Linked DNA regions of Diceros bicornis minor. The protein of the gene in region 2 interacts with the protein of the main gene of each other region in a pairwise test. Links are inferred from orthologs where the notes say so. Each region holds a gene or a part of one and is shown on either strand. Other genes may lie near its edges.

Region 1 (7,761 bases), on a different chromosome or scaffold from region 2:
TGATCACTATTTAGTAAAACTGAAAACACGCAATCCCTTGCACCCTGCAATGCCGTTACTGGGAATATACCCCAGGGCACATGTGCACAAGGAGACCTGCAGAAGGATGTTCACTGCAGCACTGCTTGAAATAGAGAAAAAATGCAAACGTTAAGTGTCCAACAAAAGGGAAATAAATAAAATGTCGTGTACATGCACTGCATAATAGTAAGACTGCAACAGACCTATATACATTATGTGTGAACGTGATACATTCATATAAGGAACATGCTACAGGAGCATCCCATAGCTACACACACACCAACGACAAACCCCCCAAAAGTAACGTTAGTGAAAAAGGCAAGCTGCAGATGACACAGAGAATATGACACCACTTAGATAAACTGTAAAAAGCACAAACATCATATATTGCTCAAGGATGCCTATATAAAATATTAAAGTATAAAAAATGGTGCAGAAGCACAAAGATCAATTCATAATTCATAGTAGTGCTTGCCTTTGGAGACAGAGAAGGAAGAATGGGACTGGGGTTCTGAGGTTGGAGAACAAACTGTTATCTATGGTCTTGTTGTTTACATATATTTATATATATATTCTTAAGCAAATATGACAAAATGTTAACAAGTTTTCACTTCTGTGTAATATGTAAGCAATGTTATTCTGTAACTGTTCCAATATTTTTAAATTTATCAAAAGAAAAATAAGACATCCACGGAATTGAAACATTTTATAAGTAATTTTGACAGATGAAATGACCCACTATAAATAAAATTCCTATATATAAAAACCCAAATGAAATTTGAGCAATCATTAGAAGGAAAAGAAAAAAATGTTAAAATTGACACCATAGACATGAAAATGTTTGATTTTTTTAAAACATTATTTATTATTCATTTGGTTTTAATTTTACATAATTAACATTCCTTGAAATTTAAGGTGACTTTTTTTTTTTTACTGGTAACTTGAATGAAACTATACGTGTATCCCAGGTAGAAAAGCAGTATGAATACATAAATCTTTTCTAATGCGTCCCACCTGCCTTTAACACATTATGCCTGGGACTTCATCAAACAACTGAGAAAATGTGCTTGCTTCACCAGCTTCAGTACCAAAAACGGAACCCCAGAGCCCTGGGCGGTGTTTACAACGCCCAACTCAGCACGCCATCTGTGACCCGTGCAAACACTGCACTTCCCCTATTTAAGCACCCCACTGTCAGCGGCCACCTTCAAAGGTCCAAGGACAGCGCCACCACCCTGGGCTGAGTCAGTGACATTCACGGCCTTTAAATACAGGTTTACACACCAGAACCGAAATTACCTGCGACTCACTGCTGGGGCCGTCACCCGGTGTTGCCATAGTTCTCTTAGGATCTGCCGCATAGCTGCCGCTTTTACTGTTTCATTCTCCCCTCCATTCCTACTTTTAAAAAGAGAGAGAATGAGAAAACGCTTGTTCCGTCACTTAAGGTCTAAGGTCCACGATAAAGTTCCTCTACAGAACCGAAGCAAAACATGTATGTCTAAAGAATGAAATAAAAATGAAGTTTATAAACGCAACTTTTTACAAAAACAACTGAAAGCATTTACAATTTATAAACTTCAAAGAGCGTGTGTTTTCTTGAGGAGTCTGCAAAGCGTCAATCTTATTCATTAGGGAAGCTTGTTGGTTTCTCTTAGATCACTGGGTTGATTTAAAACAACAAATAGATGTCACATTTGTTCTTGGAACCCTGATACCTTTAATTCCAATTAAAACTCCCTACCTGGGGCTTTAAAGTGTTTCCACTAACAGGAACTCTGCATCTTCAGAGGCTTTTCCTTCTCATTCTCAATTCCCATTTTTCCAGTGACAGTGTAATCCGTACTATGCTCTGAGATGAACGGTTTTTAAATTACACAGCAATTCTTTCTTTAAAATGCGTGCTTCACTTATCAAGATCTAATACTTATTTTTGTGACATCTGTCATCACAAATACTAAAATACATACATTGCATTTTCATTGGAAAACACTGCTAGACGGCCAGGGTGGGGCGGGGCCAGGACAGGCCCGGTCGATAGGGCGGGGGCCGGAAGGAACGGGGCGTGAAGGGCAAGGATGGGGCGGGGAAGGATGGGGCGGAGAAAGATGGGGCGGAGAAGGATGGGGCAGGATGCGGCCAAGATGGCGAGGGACAAGAGCAGAATGGGGCAGGGCCAGGATGCGGCGGGACGGGGCAGGACCGGGCCGGGGCAGGATACCGCCGAGATGGGGCGGGGCCTGGATGGGGCGGGATGGGACCAGGATGGGGAGGGGCCAGGATAGGGCCGGGATGCGGTGAGTTGGGGACTGATTGATGGGGCGGGGCCGGGATGGGGCGGGGCCGGGATAGGGCCGGGATGAGGCGGGATGAGCTGGGATGGGGCGGGGCCAGGATGGCACGGGATGGGGCGGGACGGTGCGCGGCCGGAGGGCGGACCCGGGCGGGGCACAAGGACGCTGGCTCCGGGCGCTGTCCGGGAGAGGGCCGAGGATCCTCAGGGGCAGGTGGCCAACGAGGGGTGGGGAGAAGGCGCCGTGGATGCAGGAGCCGGAGAGGAGGGGGACAGGGAGTGTAACGTGACCCGCAGCGTGCGGGGCGGCCGGACTCCCAGGGCGCGGACGGGAGGGAGCGTGGCCTGGGGGCGTGGCTAGGAGAGCGGTGGGCGGGGCGCCGGGGAAGCCTCCGCAAGGGCGTGGCTCGGGGCGTGGCCCGCGGGGAGGGGCGCCGAGCTATGGTCAGCTCGGGGCACGGAGCAGAGGAGGGGAAGGCACCCGGCGGTCTGGGAAGGGGCGGAGGCCTCTGCCCGCTAGCTGACGTCGGGCGCGGACCGGTCACCTGGCGTGTCCTGCCTCACGCGCGGTCCAGCCGCCCGGGCAGCGTACGGGAAACGGGAAACCTACCTCAGCCGCGTTTCTCCGCTGAATCCCGCGTACTCATTGCCGGCGCGCACGGGCAGACGATGCCTACGGGGAGCCGAGCCGCCGCCCTCGGCCCGCGCAGGCGCGGTGCGCGCGTCCGCGGAGAAGACCCCGCCCTGGGCTCGGCGCCCCGCGCTTGCGCAGTCCCCGCCGTCACGACAAGTGGCGTCACCCCTTTGGGCTTGCGCAGGCGCAGTGCGCTCAGGCCCTTCGTGGAGTACTCTGGCCTGGGCCGAGCGCCCCGCGCAGGCGCACTTCACGGGCCCCGCCTCCCGTCGTCGCGCGAGCGGGGGAGCCGCGCCGCTGGTGTGGGGGTGGGGCCCCGGGGGCGGGGCGCAGGTGGGGTTGGGGGAGGCCGGCCAGACCCGGGGAGGGGGAGCGGGGGCCGGGGGGCGGGGCGCAGGTGGGGAGCAGGTGGAGCTGGGGGAGGCCGGGCGGACCCGGGGAGGGAGAGCGGGGGCCGGGGGAGGCCGGGCGGACCCGGGGAGGGAGAGTGGGGGCCGGGGGGCGGGGCGCAGGTGGGGCTGGGGGAGGCCGGGTCGACCCGGGGAAGGGGAGTGGGGGCCGGGGCCCATTTGGGCCTGGGGGGGGGGTGGTCAGAAGCCTGCTATGGGCGACGGAAACGCTGAGGTTTCTGCAACAGGACCCCCGTCCTCCTGCTGTTTTGGTAATAATTCAATTAACCTTCCCATCTCCGGCTGCAAGGTGTGAACGGCGTGGCATTGTTTCCACCTGACAAGTGGAAGCATGGTGATGAAGTTTTTACTCCATGAAGAGGAAGTCAGGGATTAAAAGGAAAACAGGACAACGTCAGTGCGGGTTACCGTGCGGTGGCTGCGCAGGGTCGGCAGGTGGCGGCGCTGTGGTCTGGGAAGGGCAGGACGTGGTCCTCAAATCTTAGAGACGGAAAGTGGAATGGTGGTTGCCAGGGGCTGGGGAGGGAGAAGAGGGAGATCATGTTATCCTTGTAGGGTTTCAGCTTTACATGATGAAGAGTTCTGGAGATGGGTGTTGGTTATGGCTGCACAACAATGTGAATGTATTTAATACCACTGAACTGTACACTTATAAATGGTTAAGGTGATAAATTTTATTTTATGTATATTTTACTGCAATAAAAAAAGCAAGAACACAAATTACCAATATGAGGAATGAAAAATTCAGTACAGATTATAGGTTTTTTTAAAAGATAATAAACTGGTATTATGAAGCTTTATGTCAAAAAAAGTTTGACAAATTAGATAAATTGGGCAAATTCCTTGAAAAACATAACTTACCAAAACTGAACAAGTATATTTAGAAAATCTGTGTAGTTCCATATCTCTTATACAAACTTTGACCTTCCCCCTAATGGCCTGAAAGAATTTAAGATAGATGCCCTGGCCCCAGGACAGGCCATCACCATAGATAACTCTGGGTGTCAGTAGACTGGGAGCATCCTTGCTAAGCCCATTCTTATCAAAGTCCTGTCTTGGGATCCCGTTGTCATAGATGGCCCAGCAAACTCTTGTTTAACAACATTTCCTTTTCCATCTCCATGTAAGTTGCCTTCCTCCCCTTTGAAGCCCCAAACCACTACCCCCAACATCCTCCTCTGTCTTTAGCTGAAAAGGTGGCAGCTTTGGCCATTCTAACAAGTTACTCAGTTTTTCTGGGTTTTCCCCATGTGTACATATTACTAAACTTTGATTTTCTCCTGTTATTCTGTCTCATGTAATTTAATTCTAAGACCAGCCAGAAGGACCTAGAGGGTGGAGGAATTCTCTTCCTCCCCTACAGAAGAGATAACACCAATATTAACAAAATTTAAAGAAAATAGGGGATGGACGCTTCCCAATTTGTTTTATGAGGCAAACATAACTCTGATACAAACACCTGAGAAATACAAGAAAAGAAAATTACAGACCAAAATCCTTCATAAAAATATATGCAAAAATCCTTAACAAAATATTAGCAAGTCCAACCCAACAATATGTACAGAGGGTTATACATTATGACCATGTGGAGTTTATGCCAGTGTGGGAGATCAAAATTTGGCCACCCTGAAATATATCTCTTTACCTTGATTGTTTTCTCTGAAGGACATTTGACCTCCCCCACTAACTGCCTAAAGAATTTGACATGGTGGCTCCTTCCTGGAACAGATCTTCCATCTGATGGCTGTAATATAATGTAAAATAGATCTTACAATAGGAAAGGCACCAACAAGCCCATCTTATCAGAAGTTCTGTCTCTGGCCACATTCTTTGGATGGCCCTGCAAGGAGTTGCCAGACAAACATTTACATTTATAAGGGAAATCTCCATTTGTAAAGGTATCTCCCTCTCTGTCTTGGGAAGAGGGGGGATGACCTCATTTCTAGAAACTTATCAATGTGGAAGGTGAGGCCTTAAATCTGCATAATAACCTTACCCTTGTTTACAGTGCTTTAGTGGTAATCTCCTGTAACTGACACCCCCCACCCCCAACATCCTCCTTTGTCTTTAGAAGAAGATGGTATTTAAGATGAGAATTTCTGCTATTGTGTTGAGAAACGCAGTGTCCCTGCTTTCTCCCATGTATACATGTTATTAAACTTGGTATTATTTTCTCCTGCTAACCTGTCTTGTTGATTATTTGGCCAGCCAGAAGAACCTTAAGGGAAAGGGCAGAGGGAGATTCTCCCTCTTCCCCCGACACCAGTAATGTAAAATTGGTCTAACTCTTAAAAATCAATGTAGTTCACCATTTTAACAGAATAAAGGGAAAAAAAATCATATGATCATTTCAGTACATTTTTAAAAAGGATTTGACAAAATAATACCCAATCGTGATTTTTTTAAATATCAGCAAAAATAGAACATCTGTCTGTAAAAAGGCATCTATCAAAAACTCCATCACTGGGGCCGGCCCAGTGGCACAGTGGTTAAGTTCGAATGCTCTGCTTCAGCAGCCCAGGGCTCACGGGTTCAGATCCCGGGTGCAGACATACACACCACTCATCAAGCTGTGATGTGTTGTGGCAGCTTCCCACATAAAGTAGAGGAGGACTGGCACAGATGTTAGCTCAATGACAGTCTTCCTCAAGCAAAAAGAGGAAAATTGGCAACAGATGTTAGCCCAGGGCCAATCTTCCTCAACAAAAAAATAAAAATAAAAACTATCACTAAAGTCATACTTAATGATGTTATATTGAAAGTTTTTATTAGAAACAAGGCAAATGTATCCACTTTCACCACTTCTATTCAATATTTTGTAGGAAATCCTGGCCAGCACAATAAGGCAAGTAAAGCAACAAGTAAATAAAAAGAATAACTATTAGGAAGAAATAAAATTATGTATATTCACAAAAGATTAGATTGTTCGCATAGAATAGCCTAAGGAACCTACAAAACAACTACTAGAACAAATAAGTGAATTTAGCAAGATTGTGGGATACAAGATCAACATAGAGAAAAAAGTGTGTTTCTATTAGGAGCAAAACATTGAAAATGAACTTTTTTTAAAACCCATTTATAATAGCATTGTAGGGTAAGTAGCTGACCATTAGCTTTTTTGATTATAAGTGCCTGACATAAAGCTTTTGATTGCTGAGGTATCCACTTCAATAAATGAATAAACACATTGCCAGCTACACAACTAGCTAAAAAGCCAGGCCACCCTACCCAGGAAGTTTTTTTTAGAAAAGCCCTGGGTGACCTAGATAACTGACTTTTTGACCACTTGTTTTCCCCTTCCTGCACTTTAATCACTGTTCTTATGTTTTAAATTCACCAATAAAAAGTGGACCCACAGGGGCCAGCCCGGTGGCGTATCGCTTAAGTGCGTGCACTCCGCTTAGGTGGCCCCGGGTTCACAGGTTCGGGTGCTGGGCGCAAACCCATGCACCACTTGTCAAGCCATACTGTGGTGGTGTCCCATATAAAATAGAGAGAGGTGGGCATGGATGTTAGCCCAGGGCCAATCTTCCTCACACACACAAAAAAAGAGTGAACCCACAAAACTCTAGGCACCCTCCCTCCACCCCAGTAAAGGCAGAAGCCCAAGCCCTCACTGATGTGTGCTCTCTCTCTCTCTCTTTCTCTACCTGCGACCTCGCTGTGTGGCCCCGGGGCATGCATGTACCTTCCAGGACTTGTGAATAATAAACCTTGTCTTTTCAAAGTTCCATAATGGTTGTTGCTGAGGTGCGTCTTGCAATCGTAATAAGAACCATGAGGGCCAGTCGAGCCACAACATTGGAAATGTCTGTGGGGGGTCCCCACAAATAGTAGGAGCCCAGGTGAGTGCCCCCAGGCATTTCTAGTGGATAGCATCACTATCAATAGACTGAGACAGACCCGGAACAAGTATCAACATAAAATACTCAGGAATAAGTTTAACAAAAATATGTGCAAGACTTTTACACTAAAACTATTTTTAAAATGCTGAGAGAAATTTTAAAAGATAAATAAATGGCGAGAGATTCCATGTTCACATATTGGAAACAATATATTTAAGAAGTCAATTCTCCACAACTTGATTGATACATACAACAAAATCCCAATCATAATGCCAATAGGATTTTTTTCTAGAAACTGACAAACTGATTCCACAATTTATAGAGCAATGCAAAGGACCTAGAATGGCAGAACAATCTTAAAAGAGAACAACAATATCATAAGATATATACTCTCTGACTTCAAGAATTATTATAAAGATACAGTAATCAGGACAATGTGATATTGTCAAAACGATAGGCAAAGAGGTCAACGGAGCAGAAAAGAAAGTCCAGAAGTAGACCCACACTTTTACAGTCATTGATTTCCAACAAAGGTGCCCAAGCAATTTGATGGCAGTG
Region 2 (7,922 bases):
TACAGAATAGTGCAACCATCGCAACTATGTGATTTCAGAACATTTTCCTCACCCCAAAAAGAAACTTTGTATATATTAGTAGTCACTCCCCATTTTCCCCTGTCCCCTGTCTTGGCAACTACTATTTTCTGTCTCTATGGATTTATCTATTCCATACATTTAATAAAAATAGAATCATACAATATGTAGGCTTTTGTGATTGGCTTCTTACACTTAGCATAATGTTTTCAAGGTTCATCCATTTTGTAACACATAGCAGTACTTCATTTTTTTTTTTACTACCAAATAGTACTCCAGTATGGATATACCACATTTTATCTCTCCATTCATTATTTGATGGACACTTGGGCTATTTCCATTTTCTGGCTATTATGAATAATGCTGCTAAGAACATTCATGTACAAGTTATTGTGTGGACATATGTTTTCATTTCTCTAAGGTAGACATCTAGGAGCAGAATTCCTGGGTCATATGCTAACTCTATGTTTAACATTTTGAGGAACTGCCAGACTGTTTTTCAAAGTAGCTGCACCATTTTACAATCCCACCATCAGTGTATGAGGGTTCTAATCTCTCCATATCCTTACCAACATCCGATACTATCAGTTTTTTTGATTATGGCCATCCTAGAGGGTGTGAAGTGGTATTTCCTCCACTTTTTAAATGCAAATATTCTTTAAAAGCTTTTTTTAACCACTCCTCCCCCCTTATAGGACACCAAGGCATCTGGTGAGAGTAAAGTCAGCATATCCATGTACTTGTATGCGTGAGCTGTTTTGAAATTTAGAATAAGTTTCTGGCTCCCTGTATATGTTCTGTAAACAATACTCATACCTTTCCAGTAATCTAACAAGGAGAATCAATCTCATAACAAATTCATTAATTCCACTTTGAATTTAAATAAATACAAAACACTGAAATTATAACCAAAGTGCCTTACACCCTCAAAAATATTAATTGTAAAAGCAGTAATTTAAAGGATTCTTTATTATCTAAAAAAATTTTTTAAGCTAAAATTTTTTTCTTAGTAGTCTAATGGTTACTGTATACTCCACTATTGAGCTCACTTAAGTATAAAAAGTTACTTAACAGTGAAAATTATCCAAATCCTTACTTCAAAAACTTTTGTCCCCTAAGCTACTAGCAAATAAACAGAATTAATATAAGATTAGGTCCTGAAACAAAAATAAACTCTGAATGATTCAATGTCTTTCAACCTTCAGTCAAAATGTTGTAATCAAGTCAATGATTATAAGGAGATAATTCTGACAATTTGTTAATTGAACCACTGTATCACACCAAGAAATTTCACTAACCTGGCATTTTCTTCTTCTGGCCTTTCAACTTCATTTTCATCTACCAAAAAGAATACATAAATAAATAAATAAAATTAACAAACAAACCACTCTCAAAGAAACCAGTATTATGAAAATCTGAAGTGATCATCACAAGCACTAACCTAGGTCCTTTGCCAAATCACTGTGCACATGCACGTCCCATGGGCCTATAAGCACATCCAAAGTTAGATCACCTTATAATGATGTAACAAGATATGTCTTTTATGAAAAAAAAAAATCAGACTTTACTTCTACAAAAATAAGCTTAATTTAAGAGGTATTAAAGATTTCTAGATCTTTGTAAAAGATACCCTACACATTTACATTTCAGAGAGTATTACTAATGCTAAACCTTGCCGTCAAAGATAATGAACTTATTTTACAAGTTTATCAAAATAGAAGTTTGTCCAAGCCACATCATGAAAGAGCTGCATGGTGCCCAAACGCGCACTTTTACTTTACTATTTTAAAGACATCAAAAATATACATTTTAGGTAAGGAACCAGTATTAACTTTTAAATCTAGTATCAGTAACAGAAAAGAAAGGACTGTGACTTAATGAAAGTTAAAACCAGATGTCAAACAAGTCCCTTTCAAAAGGGAAGTACAAAATGCTCTACATTTGAGGGGGAAAAAATGCACAAGACGATACTGAAAACCATTAGCCTAAGGGACATGAGGTACTTCTATCATGTGGGTTAAAGACCAGTCTCTTAAAAAAGAAAAACTTCACCTTAATACAGGAGACATTCGGGGTTTTCTTTATGGGCCATAATGTATTCCATCTCTTTCTTTCTCTCTCTCTTTCTCTTTTTTAATTAGTTATTTTTAAAGAACGACTTTCAGACAAGGAGGTACCCTTGCAGGTGCATTCCACACACACTGACCATCAAGAAACAAGACGTTAGTTTTACAGCATCAACTTTATTTAGCTATTATTACAGAATGATTGTTGCTGAAAGAAAGGGACAGGAGAGGCATCCTAGAGCCAAGGGGTAAGAGACACACCAACACAACTCAGAATAGATATCAACAAACAGAGTAAGGAGCGGAGGCGAGGCCGAGACGCCCTCGCGGGGTGGGGGGGAGGGGTGTGTGTGCGAGAGGGCTCGGGCCCTGTCCCGCGACCCCAGCCCGGCCCGGGCCGCCGCGGGGTGGGTGCGCCTTGGGGGTGTCGGCTGGGCGAGGAGGCCGAGGGGGGGCGGGGGGACGCGCACCCCGCGCTCGGCCTAAGTCAGGCCGGATAAGGCTCCGCACTGGAGGCCTCAGGCGGCGGCGTGAGGGACCCCGGACGCCCGCCGCTTGCAGGCCGGGAGAGAAGCCTGAGAGAACCCGGGAGAGAGAGAAGGGACAGGAAGTTCCGTACCGCCATAGAGCCACTCTTCCTCCTCATCCCCTCCGGTCCCGCCGCTCAGCTCCGACACTAGGCGCTCGACCTCGCCGGCCGACATGGCCGCCCCGAGCACAACTTAAAGGCGGCGATCAACAGCCCCTTGCAACCCCTTCCCCGGCCTCGCTGCCCGGGGGCGCGAGGGGGCGCGAACCCGCCGGCGAGCGAACGAAGGAAGCGCGAGACTCAAATCCACGGGGGACGGCCGCGGCGGCGAAGGCTGCAAGGGAGAGGACGCCAGCCCCCATCCGCCTGCGCACGCGCACCAGCATCCAAGCGGCGCGGCGTCTCTAGGTGGTTTCGCTTCCGCGGCGGCGGCCACCTGGGCCTGGTTGCGCGTGCGCACCGTAGTTGGCCCCGCCCCTGTGGAATCCCGCTCTGGCTTTTTAGCGTCGCTTTCTTTCCTGGCGTCCTGCGTCGGCTACGGTTCCCCGCCCCCAACGTTCCTTCTAATAACTCTATTGCCTTTGCCGAGGAGCGCTGCGTTGTTTGCTTCTGCCCTTGGTGCTTTGTCTTCTCAACCTTTCTTTCTGCTTTTTAATCTTCCGAAAGGCCATATTTCATTCTTTACATGTGTATCAGACTTGATACAGAATCGTTATCTATCAGTTCCCTGTTTCTCATTAAATAGAGAAGAAAACATAGTTCATGGCCACTTTCTTCAAAAATTAGTTTTAAACCGCAAACAAAAGCAAAACTAATACGTGAATAATGCATTCTGCTTGTTAAAATACAGCATTACGGGTCAAAGACCACCTCATCCATTACTCTCCTTTCCAGAGGTAGCCATTGTATTTGGTGGGCATCATCCTGAAATTTTCTATACATATACTTCAGGTGCATTGTATTGTTTTGGTAGGAGAACCTGAGGTTAACGATTCTTAAAAGGTACAGTACTGTATGTATCATTCTGTGGATTGCTTTTTATTTTTTTTAATTCAACAGTGTTTTGGAGATCCTTTCCATGTTAGTGTATATCAAACTATGTCCATTTTCAAGTGCTTCATAATATGCCATACCATGGTTCTCATAAAGTGAATGTGGCTATTTCCCTATTGATGTACATTTAGATTGCTTTCAACTTTTTGCTTTAAGATGCACACAAAAACTGCAATGAAGATCCTTGTAAATGACTTCTTGGGGATTTATACAAGTTTTTCTCCAAGATAGATCATAAAGTATGAGCAGTTTTTATTTTACTAGGTAATGTCAAATTTTCAAGCCACTTTTGAGAACACATCTTTCAAGATGACACATGATGGGTCAAAACTGGTGTTCTAGTTGTTAACTATAACTACCTAGTTGCATGACCTCAGGTAATCAACCTCTCTATGCTTCAGTTTTCTCATCTATAAAATGGGAAAGCTGGATTAGATGATCTCTCAAGTCCCTTTCTGTTCTAAAGTTTTCAAACAGGATGCTCACTTTTCAACAAAGTGATCTGTTTTAGTTTTAAAAATCAATCAGTGGGTTTACTTTGCTCTCTAATTAATAAATATTGTTCTTTCAGGGCCGGCCCATGGCTTAGCAGTTAAGTGCGCATGGTCCGCTGCTGGCGGCCCGGTTCCGATTTGGGCGCGCACCGTCGCACTGCTTCTCCGGCGATGCTGAGGCCGCGTCCCACATACAGCAACTAGAAGGATGTGCAGCTATGACATACAACTATCTACTGGGGCTTTGGTGGGGGTGGTGGAAATATTGTTCTTTCATTTATTTATTTAACAATTACTGAATATCTGCTGTTTAAGAACTTGGAAAATAAAGATATGAGTAAAAGAGTCCCTGCCCTTAAAGAGCTCTCAATTTATTGAGAAAGACAGAGGGGTGGTAAACAATTAATTCTTCTACAAGGGAAAAGGTGGCTATGCTACAATAGAAGCACAAATGTGTTTACATCCCACCAATACCACAGCATCTTATGGCATTTAAACAAGTCATGTGGTTTTAATCCCTCTTACCTTTGAACACTCCTCTACCTGCTATTCTCAGTCCCCCTTATCTGTTTAGGATAATCCCTTACCTCCTTCTGAACTCTGTTGAGTTATAATCAACTTTGTATGTGAAATCTTTCCTGAATTCCACTTCATCTCCTCCCATTTCTTTATTTATTCAATAAATATTTATGAATGGTCTACCAAGTGTCAGAAACTCTTCCAGGCTGTGTAGATTTGGTAATGAGTAGGGCAAAGTGCTCGTCTCATGAAGCTTTCATTCTAATGAGGGAGAGAGCCAATAACCATAAATGTACAATACGTCAAGTGATGATAAGGATTATACAGAAGAGTAAGCAGGATAGGAGGACTCAGAGCAGAATGATGAAGAGGGATAGGATGCTATGTTATATCAAGTGGTCAGGGAAAGCCACTCTGATGAGGTGATATAAGAGTAGAGACGTGAATGGAGAGAGAAAATAAGCCCTGTGGATTTCTGGGTGAAGCCTATCAGACAGAGGGAATAGGAAGTGCAAAGGTCCTGAGGCAGAGGCACACTTAAGGCATTCAAGGAACCCAAAATGTAGCCAGAGTAGAATTAGGGAGGAAGAGGATATAGATGATGTCAGAGTTATTAGGGAGTGAGTAGGGAAGAGCTAATTACTCTCTTCTAGACCTTTTGCTGCTTCTATGGCATGTATCTATCACATCATGTAGTAATTATTTGACTACATATGTGTTTTCTTAAGATTCTTCATTAGACCAAGTCCTCCCTCAAGCAGGGCTTTTTTTGTTTTTTTTGTGAGGAAGATCAGCCCTGAGCTAATATCCATGCCAATCCTCCTCTTTTTGCTGAGGAAGACTGGCCCTGAGCTAACATCCGCGTCAATCTTCCTCCACTTTATGTGGGACACCGCCACAGCACGGCCTAAGAAGCGTTGCGTTGGTGCATGCCTAGGATCCGAGCCTGGGCCAATAGCAGTGGAGCACGCGCACTTAAGCGATATGCCATGGGGCCGGCCCGAGCAGGGCATTTTTTTATATGTCACTCTCATTCCTGGCATGGTGCCTAACACTTAGTAGATCTTCTTGGCCTTTACTGACAGTAATGGAATGAAAGTTTTTATATTCTGCTTGGAGTATCATAAGGCAATCACTTATAGTCCTATTCATCTTTCTATTTATCATTCCATGAGTCTATAATGAACTTTGGTGGTTTCATGGGAGAACCAATTGTCTTTTGCTGAGCAGCCTCTTTCTCCTTTCAGATGCCTGAAATGAGCTCGTCTTTCAAGGCGTTACTTAAACTGAACTGAAGAACTGATGAATAATAATTGGTGCATCAGAATCGCCTTCATGATGGAGGTAGCATTTGAGCTAAGCTTTGAAAATGAAGATTTCCACAAGCAGAGAAGCCTATAAATCACTAATAATCACTTTTAAAAGGCCTCTTCCTTCCTTGCTTCCAATCTGAGTTCCTTGCCTGGATAAACTTCCTTAGTTAAAGGTGTCTTTATCTCCCTCCTCACCAGGGGAGACTTCAAAGACAGGTGGTTTGAAGATATTGTGTAAAATTATGACCTTATCAAACTACAATACTTCTTATATTCTGGTTATATTTGTGTTATGTTCAAATACTTTAAAGAATGTTTTTTTGGTGTGTGTGATCTGTTGGTTCTTGGCAAAAAAAAAAAACAACAACAAAGCATCAGTTTTAATATATCTATCTCTGAGAAGTACTGAAAGAGAATGCTTAGTAGATGATGATTAAAATGATAGCAAGAGGTAAAGATCAAATAAAAATGCCTTGCTAGGTATCTAGTAGTTAGCAAGTACTCATAAATGTGTTTTGAATGGATAGGACATTTAGGCTTAACTGTGCTATTTGCTGCCAATTTTAAATATGTCACTTAAATCTCAATGTTCCTCAGTTTCCTCACCAGTGAATTGATATATTAAAATAACACCTTTACACCCACTTCTTGGGAGGATAACAGAGCTAAAATGAAGTTTCAAATGTCAAATCATTTGACAAGTTAGAGGCAAGCATGTGGTGTGTTATGGTTAGACTTTTCGTCCTTTGAACAACCTGAATAATGGCACATGTATAGAGCTTTTCTTCCTCTCTAGATACTTCCATGAGGAATTAAGCCCCAATTATCCATCTTCCTCTGTATTCTGACGTATTTTAACACTAAATTTTATATTACTAGTTATTTCTGGAAAATTATATCATCTCCTATTTGCATCTACACTGTTATGTAGACTGCACACTCTTTAAGGATGAGAACAAAATTTATTTATATCTGTATTCACCAGATCCTCTTTTACAATGTCAAGCACGTGGAAAGTGCATAGTGAATCCTTACGTGTTGATCGTGCATATGGAGGAGTTTGAAATGAAGTGAAGGGAGATATGCTTGATTTTATGAAGAATGGGAAATAACTGCTGGCTGTTTTGAGCAGAGAAATACAAATCACATTTAAATAAGGTAAATCTAATGATCTTAAGCATGTAATTTTAGCAGGAATTCATTTGACTGCCATAATATCTGAGAGCAAGAAATGGAAGGAAGAAAATTCTGACACATAACGTGGATGAACCTTGAGGATATTATGCTAAGTGAAATAAGTCAGTCATAAAAGACAAATATTTTATGATTCCATTTATATGAGATATCGAGAGTAGTCATCTCATAGCAACAGAAAGTAGAATGACGGTTGCCAGGGGCAGGTGGGAGGGGGAAATGGGGAGTTGTTGTTTAATGGACATAGAGTTTCAGTTTTGCAAGATGAAAAAGTTCTGGAGATTGGTTGCACAACATTGTGAAAATAATGCTACTGAACTGTACACTTAAAAGTGGTTAAGATGGTAAATTTATGTTATGTGTATTTTGCCACGATTAGAAAAACAGAAAACAAACAAAAACATGTTCCAACTGAACTCAGTATATTTTTCCCCCAATCGGCTTCTCATCTGGTTTTCTAAATCTCAGTGATTGCCATTTACCAGTCACCCAGGCAGAAAACTGGATGTTACCCTGAAATTCTTCCTCTGCCTCACTCTTTGTCAATCCAGTAACCAGGCTTTTTGGCTCTATCTCCTTAACATTTCCTTAGACACCCTTCACTGTAGATCCCCTTTACTGGTATCCTTATCTACTCTGGCCCAAGTGGTTGCTGTTACTGTTTCTTAACTGCTCTCCCTGCCCTAAATCTTAGTCTGCTCAAATTATTGTCCATGACTTGACTAGAATCGTTTTT

Evidence for each region. The genes of interacting proteins can lie anywhere in the genome.
Region 1: the proteins of FIP1L1 (region 2) and PRMT2 interact in a two-hybrid assay, tested with the Homo sapiens proteins (2 studies listed by BioGRID and IntAct). The link is inferred for Diceros bicornis minor from reciprocal best matches to the Homo sapiens genes FIP1L1 and PRMT2.

The regions. Positions count from the first base shown.
Region 1 is NC_080766.1:46,000,141-46,007,901, reverse strand, and holds the start of PRMT2 (protein arginine N-methyltransferase 2), read right to left. Parts: upstream 3,014-7,761; 5' UTR 2,925-3,013; intron 1,874-2,924; exon of another isoform or gene 1,766-1,873; intron 1,420-1,765; 5' UTR 1,360-1,419; coding exon 1,321-1,359; intron 1-1,320. UniProt on the Homo sapiens protein: Arginine methyltransferase that methylates the guanidino nitrogens of arginyl residues in proteins such as STAT3, FBL, histone H4. Acts as a coactivator (with NCOA2) of the androgen receptor (AR)-mediated transactivation.
Region 2 is NC_080747.1:41,487,433-41,495,354, reverse strand, and holds the start of FIP1L1 (pre-mRNA 3'-end-processing factor FIP1), read right to left. Parts: upstream 3,001-7,922; 5' UTR 2,789-3,000; coding exon 2,704-2,788; intron 1,505-2,703; coding exon 1,460-1,504; intron 1,357-1,459; coding exon 1,317-1,356; intron 1-1,316.